Linked DNA regions of Macaca mulatta. The protein of the gene in region 1 purifies or fractionates together with the protein of each later gene. This does not show direct contact. Links are inferred from orthologs where the notes say so. Each region holds a gene or a part of one and is shown in the gene's direction. Other genes may lie near its edges.

Region 1 (3,163 bases):
AATCCCCAAATCATCTTCCAGAGTAAAATGCAAATCCCATCAGGCCACTTGGATGAAAACCCTTCAAGGATTACTGGATAGAGTTCAGGCTTTTTATTTTCTTCCCCCAATCATAGCTCACAAACCTTCGTTGCTATTTGTTCCTAAGTAACAAATCATTTTTCCTCCTCCCTCCCCAAACCCCAAGGAACTCTCACTCTTGCTCAAGCTGTTCTGTCCCCTTAATACCACCCCTGATACAAACTGCCTGGTTAATTTCCAGAATTCTTACAAGATTCAGCTCAGAAGTCACCTTCTCTCGTGAATGTTTTGATTCCCTGAGGCTACTTCATTTTGCTATGGCTGAAAAATCCTAGATTTTCTAAACAAAACCTGTTTGAATCTTGGTTCTGATATGGACTGGGAGAGAGACTGGGTCAAGCAAGTTTATCTCCCTGAGGCTGTTTCCTCGTCTGTTAAGTGGGAATATTACCTGCCTTTCCTAATCACCAGGGAATAAAGTGGAATAATGTTGATAAGAGTACTTGGCACCTGGAAGTAGGTGGCAGATGTTAATGCCCTTCCTCCCTTGCACTGCGACCCCTGTGTCTACCTCTAGTATTGTAACGACCACATAGTATTGAAATAGCCACTTTACTTGTCTGGCTTCCTTTCCAAGACCGTTGGTGCCTAAAGGACTAGAATCGTGTTCTATTTAACTTTGTATTCCCAGGTCCTAGCTCAGGAGTTGGCAAATAAGAATTAAATATCTGCTACATTGAAAATCTCACGCCTTTCACTCGTTGTGATTTTTGCATACGTTGTCGACTTAGGCTGAAACCCCTCCTCCTTCTACAGCAGCACTGTGGGCCGCCCCACTGCTGCCCCCACCTCTCGGGGCAGTTGGTGGAGAAGGGCGGGGGGCTTTCCAAATCCACTATGAATCCTTACAAGGCTGAATAAGGGAACTTGAAAGGATGCAGACAGGCAGGCAATCCGTAGTCGAGGGATGTAGGGCCCATAAACCTCGAAGCAAGGTCTTGAGCGTCAGACAGAATGAGGTGTCCCAGAGCGGCGGAAGAGTCCCGGACGCACGCTGCTTCTAGTCTCGACGGAATCGCCACCGAGCACCGCAGAGGCTAGGGCGGAATGGCGACGGCAGCGCAGTTCGCCAAGGCTTGGTCTCCGCCCTTCAGCCTATTTCCTCTAACCCGCAGACCCACTACCAGAGGAGGCGGGGAGCGGGCTGGAGAGCACTAACAGTGACAGGCGGGGCGAGTCGAGGGCGCGTGACGTCACCCCGGGGTGTGCGCGGCGCGAGCGGAAGCGGAAGCGGCTCTGTTCGCCGCCTCTCCCACCGGCCCGATGAGCTGCAGCGGCTCCGGCGCGGACCCCGAGGCGGCGCCGGCTTCCGCCGCCTCGGCCCCGGGCCCGGCACCCCCGGTCTCGGCTCCCGCAGCGCTGCCCGCCAGCACCGCTGCGGAGAACAAGGCCAGCCCCGCGGGGACAGCAGGGGGGCCTGGGGCTGGAGCAGCTGCTGGGGGCACGGGACCCTTGGCGGCGCGGGCCGGGGAGCCAGCTGAGCGGCGTGGGGCGGGTGAGGGCCTGACGGGTGAGGGCGAGGGAAGCGTCTGGGACTGGGCCCAGCGGCGGGTGAGGGCAGCGGGTATAGACAGACCTCGCTGGGGCCCTGCGCCTCCCACCTCTGTGTCTCATTTTGCTGGTTCTCCTCCAGCTCCGGTGTCGGCGGGTGGCGCGGCGCCCCCAGAAGGGGCCATGTCTAACGGGATTTACGTACTGCCGAGCGCGGCCAACGGAGACGTGAAGCCGGTGGTGTCCAGCACGCCGTTGGTGGACTTCTTGATGCAGCTGGAGGATTACACGCCTACGGTGGGCTTCCGCCCGAACAAGGCCACCTAGCCTGCTGTCACAACTTTCAGCCACATCTCCGTGCTTTTCAGCACCCTCTGATGTTTGCTTCCGTAGTCGCTCTTGTTTTTGCCCTCTGCTCACCCAAATCGTGAGCTTCCTGATAACCAGGTCTATCCGACATTTCCCTCACCCTCATCCCACTCTGCTGACAGTTCTCTTAATTGATTTCTTAGATCCCAGATGCAGTGACTGGTTACTACCTGAACCGTGCTGGCTTTGAGGCCTCAGACCCACGCATGTGAGTAAACCCAGGGCAGGTTAGTTTTGGGTGCTTGTGCAGTGTGTTGTCCATCTCCTTCTCATCTAAGTTTTTTCTCTCTAGAATTCGGCTCATCTCCCTAGCTGCCCAGAAATTCATCTCAGATATTGCCAATGATGCCCTACAGCACTGCAAAATGAAGGGCACAGCCTCCGGCAGCTCCCGGAGCAAGAGCAAGGTGTGAGGGGAGGCTCATTGAATCACTAATTACCTTCCACAACAGTGGAAGCTTATCCTGCCACCCCTTTGGGGAAACTGAATCCTAGGGGAGGTGTAAAACTTACTCAGGGTCACCCATCTGGGATTGAAGTGTGGGATTCCTGTGCTCAGTTGGTGCTCTTCCCTCTTCCCTCAGGACCGCAAGTATACTTTAACCATGGAGGACTTGACCCCTGCCCTCAGCGAGTATGGCATCAATGTGAAGAAGCCGCACTACTTCACCTGAGCCACCCAACCTAAATGTACTTGTCTGTCCCCATGTCCCCACACCAGCCTGTTTTCATAATAAACTTTATTGTGACAGGCGGGGCTGATCCCTCCCATGTTGGGAGACACCATGTGGCAAGTGACAAAGCTCTGAGCCCGCCCCTTTTGGGGCCACAGTGGTAGGGATGGGGGAAGGGGATGGACCCCATGGCTGGGGTAGTACCATGACTGGAGGCAGGGGAGGCAACCAGAGGTCTGCTGCTTTGGGGAGGTACATTCCCCCAACCATGTCCTGACACCTCTGGAGTTCAGGCAAGGGCCTTCCGGTCCTACTTGTCCTGCATCTTCTCCAGGATAGGCACAATCATGTCAAATTTGGGTCGCTTTGCAGGGTCTTCGTTCATGCAGATCTTCATGAGCTTACACACATGAGGGGAAATACCTGGTGGGATGGTAGGCCGAAGGCCTTCCAATGCCACCTGTGAATACAAGAAAAAACTGAGCCTCACAATTTGAGTCTGTCATGTAGAGAGAAGCCACTGGCCCCTGGGACAGGATAACTGTATA
Region 2 (4,231 bases), on another chromosome or scaffold:
AAAAGGAGGTGTGTGATAAAGCTGGAAGGAGGTGAGCGATCAGCCATGGAATATAAGGATGCGGGGCGGGGGGGGATTAGGGGGTGGGGAAAACGTTTTAGGCGGAGGGTACTACAAGCACAAAGGCCATGAGGCAAAAACCTGTGCTAGGCAATTTATCTTGGCCACAAAAACTTTATTCCAGTCGTCAGCCCATTAAACCCTGTAGCTTTAAGTGTTGTGAGATCACAATCTTTATTTTTTAACTTGTGATGGCTCTGGACGGCAATTGCTGTTTCTTGCAATCTGTGGATGAATGAGCAAAGCAGTTAGCAGTGGGAGGAGTACCAGGGAGCAGCACCACGCCTCACACCTCATCCAAGTTCCCCCAGATTCTTGGCGCCCTGGCTCTCCCAGAACATTGTTTGCATTCGTCTTTAAAGGTCTTTTCAGTTTGCCTTGGGTCAGTTATTTGTATACCGATTAGACCTGTGCAGCCCATGGCGGTAGCAGCTAGTAGGAATTGGATGTGCTGTTGTGTAAATACCAGATTTCGAAGATTGCAAAAACTGTAAAATATTCCACTAACGATTTCTGCAATACTGCGTACATGTTGAAATATTTTGACCCTATTGGGTTAAGATATTTTACTATATTTAACTTTCTTTTCATTAGAAAAACGTAGCCACCAGCAAATGAGAAGTGTCAGGCGTGTGGCGTGCATCTTCTTTCAACTGGATGGCGCCGGGTTGGCCCTCGCTATCCGCGGGCTCCCGACAGGAGGTGCCGCAGCTTGAGGCAGGGAGCGGCGCGGAGCAGGCAGTTGGCAGTTCCAGCCCCGAGCCGCGGCACTGCAGGGCCCGACCCAGGTTACGGCAACCGGGGGCCCTGCAGACAGCGCCCGAACAGGGGATGCTGTTGGGTGGGAAAGTGCAGGCCCTGGATGGAGGCCCGACCTGCAGGGCTCCAGCTTGTCGCCCCGCCTCTTTGCGGCAGAGCTCAGGCCGGCGCAAACCGGTTCAGTGCTAGGACGGACGCCTCGCGCCGCCCAACCGCAGCACGCCCCCGCCTCCCTAGTCCGATGGAAGAGACAGGGAACGTCTAGTCGCCAGACGGACTGTACTGAGAGCCTATGAAAATGGCCGAAGATACTGGGGGGGGGGGGGGTGGCCGGCGACCAATAGAGGAAGGGAAGGGGCGGGCTCTCATTAGCTTCCCCTCGCCCCACCACGCTTCCTTGGGCTCCGGTCTACCCACAGCCTACGGGCGCGCGAGAGGGGGGAAGGGCCTGGCGCGGGCCAGAGACTGCGCAGTGCGGTGCCGGCCGGGGGGTGACGTAATCTCCGTCCGCGGCCGCGGCGCCCCGCCCCGCGACGCCCTCCGCGAACCGGGAGAGCGCAGCGCGGGCGGCCAGCAGCAGCCGCAGCTCGGGGGCGGTGCCTGCCCCGCAGCCTCCCCTCAGCGATCGCGCAGCCCCATCTTTGTCTGGCCTCCGCGCTTTGTTCTCGGCGCCCGTGCCTTGGCCGGCCAGGCCCGCCGCCGAGCAGCCCCTACGCCGCGCTGGCGTCGTCCTCGCCCCCCTCGCCGCCGCCCCCCGCGCGCGGCCGGGCCTTGCCCCCCATGGTGTCCCGGCCAGAGCCCGAGGGCGAGGCCATGGACGCCGAGCTGGCTGTAGCGCCGCCGGGCTGCTCGCACTTGGGCAGCTTCAAAGTGGACAACTGGAAGCAGAACCTGCGGGCCATCTACCAGTGCTTCGTGTGGAGCGGCACGGCTGAGGCCCGCAAGCGCAAGGTGCGCCCGGCAGCCCACCCCGGGGCGGGCTCGCGGCCTCCTGCCTCTCCTGAGGCCGGCCGGGGGAGGGGCCCTTTTCCTTCCCCCTTCCCTTTCCCCCTTGCCTTTCCCTGTCCTTCCTCCTCTTCCCCTCTCTTTCTGCTCTCTCTCCTCTTTACCCCTTCCCCCTCCTTTTCGTCCCCCCCGTCCCCTTTTCAACTCCCTCCCTTCCCCCACCTCCTCATCCTTCTCCCATCCTTCGCCTCTGTCCCCTTCCTCCGTCCTTCCTTACCCTCCCCCTCCTTTCTTTTCCCTCCCCCTCCTCTCTCCCCTCCCCCTCCTCTCTCTCCGCCTTCCCCCTCCCTTATCCTTCTTGGCCCGGGAGGGGCGAGTGCTTCCGGGCGGGGGGCGGTGTTCTCCTGCCCGGCTGCCTGGGGAGCCTGGGACTTCAGTGGGCGGTCCCGGTCGTTCGTGCGAGAGGTCCCTGCGGGGAACTCTCCTGGTTCCAGAGGGTTCGGGGCTGGATGGGGGTGCAGAGAAAGAAATATTTCAAAAAAAATGAGTAAAGGGTGGGGGATGCCGTCGGGGTCTGGGCGTTGGTCTGCAGCGATCACCCGCCGCCGGGAGCGACCTTGGACGGGAGCTGGGGCAGGGGGCGGGTTGGGGGACGCTGGACGGCAGCTTTGCGGCTGCCTTGGGGCCCGCGGGGAACTGGAGGTGGAGAGCGGCGGGTGCTGGGGATGGAGCGAGCCTGTGGGTGCGGAGCCGCCGCCCGGGTTTGCGTTGCGGCCGAGACGTGGACTTGGAAGCGCGCTGTGTGTTGTGGGAAGCCTTAGCCAGGAACGAGTCCCCTTCGGGAGCCCGGTCTTGGCGTCCAGCAGTTAGGCCTGCTAAGGATTTGGAAATCAGAACGTAACATGATTCTTCTATGTGAGTGAACTTTATTTTTACAGTTTCACGCGCTTTTGTAGATTACAGTCCGAGATTGGGAGTTGTGAGGGCAGTTTCTACCTTGAGTGGCATTTTTTTTTATGGGAATACCAACAGGCCTGCTGAGATTGTAGGGTATATTAAGCAGCAACTCAAAAAAAAAATTTTTTTTTTGAGACGAAGTCTCGCTCTTGTTCCCCAGGCTGGAGTGCAGTGGCGCGATCTCAGCTCACTGCAACCTCCGCCTCCGGGGTTGAAGCGATTCTCCTGCCTCAGCCTCCAGAGTAGCTGGGATTACAGGCTCCTGCCACCATGCCCGGCTAATTTTTGTATTTTTACTAGAGACGGGGTTTCACCATGTTGGCCAGGCTGGTCTCGAACTCCTGACCTCAGGTGATCCACCCGCCTCGGCCTCCCAAAGTATTGGGATTACAGGCGTAAACCACCGCGCCCGGACTCAAAATTTTTTTTATCTGTAAAGATAGCGGGAAGCACTATGTCTAGATGAACTAAAATCAGAGATAAAACGTTTCTGTTAGGATCGGAGTTAGAGTCTTGCTAGTAGAATTGTGTGTCTTGAAGAAAAGATGGCCTGGCGTGGCGCGGTGGCCTCACACCTGTAATCCCAGCACTTGGGGAGGCTGAGGCAGGCAGATCACGAGGTCAGGAGTTCGAGACCAGCCTGGCCAACATGGTGAAACCTTGTCTCTACTAGAAATACAAAAATTTTTTTTTTTTTTTTTTTTTTTTTTTTTTTTTTTTTTTTTTGAGACGGAGTCTCGCTCTGTCGCCCAGGCTGGAGTGCAGTGGCGCGATCTCGGCTCACTGCAAGCTCCGCCTCCCGGGTTCACGCCATTCTCCTGCCTCAGCCTCCCGAGTAGCTGGGACTACAGGCGCCCACAACCGCGCCCGGCTAATTTTTTTTTTTGTATTTTTAGTAGAGACGGGGTTTCACCGTGGTCTCGATCTCCTGACCTTGTGATCCGCCCGCCTCGGCCTCCCAAAGTGCTGGGATTACAGGCGTGAGCCACCGCGCCCGGCCAAATTAGCTGGGTGTGGTGACGGGCGCCTGTAATCCCAGCTACTCGAGAGAGTGAGGCAGGAGAATCACTTGAACGCGGGAGGCGGAGGTTACAGTGAGTGGTGATCGGGCCACTGCACTCCAGCTTGGGTGACAGAACAAGACCCTGTCTGGAAAAAAAAAAAAAAGATGACCTGGTTGAAGCCGGCCTTCTGGTGTCTGGATTGGGACGTGACGTGCCCAAGATTCGTTTGTACTTTGGATGAAGTGGGGAATGCCCCACTCTTCCTCTCCCTCCTCCTTTTCTTTTTCCCTTCCATCCCTCTCTCTCCCTTTCTTCCCCCCCTCTGGTATTTTTAACAAAGCTGAAGGAGTCAAGTTTAAACCATTATTAACTAACTTTGCCTAATTTCCTAAAGGAAAGAATTACTTTTTTTTTTTTTTTTTTGCGTTACTTATGGCTCTGATTAATCTTTTCAGATGTCAGTTGCTTAGTTTCAAAACTGTTGAGCCACATGTATGTTATTTACC

The links. The genes of interacting proteins can lie anywhere in the genome.
Region 2: the proteins of TAF10 (region 1) and USP22 purify together in Homo sapiens (affinity purification with mass spectrometry; 4 studies listed by BioGRID, with this or other methods). This does not show direct contact. The link is inferred for Macaca mulatta from reciprocal best matches to the Homo sapiens genes TAF10 and USP22.

Annotation. Positions count from the first base shown.
Region 1 is NC_133419.1:59,170,822-59,173,984, forward strand, and holds TAF10 (transcription initiation factor TFIID subunit 10), read left to right. Parts: upstream 1-1,332; 5' UTR 1,333-1,344; coding exon 1,345-1,576; coding exon of another isoform or gene 1,577-1,591; intron 1,592-1,714; coding exon 1,715-1,869; intron 1,870-2,084; coding exon 2,085-2,149; intron 2,150-2,233; coding exon 2,234-2,348; intron 2,349-2,525; coding exon 2,526-2,615; 3' UTR 2,616-2,663; downstream 2,664-3,163. Other genes in the region: scaffold protein ILK, read right to left, coding at 2,926-3,075. UniProt on the Homo sapiens protein: The TFIID basal transcription factor complex plays a major role in the initiation of RNA polymerase II (Pol II)-dependent transcription.
Region 2 is NC_133421.1:21,923,721-21,927,951, reverse strand, and holds the start of USP22 (ubiquitin carboxyl-terminal hydrolase 22), read left to right. Parts: upstream 1-1,426; 5' UTR 1,427-1,599; coding exon 1,600-1,770; exon of another isoform or gene 1,771-2,679; intron 2,680-4,231. UniProt on the Homo sapiens protein: Deubiquitinase that plays a role in several cellular processes including transcriptional regulation, cell cycle progression or innate immunity.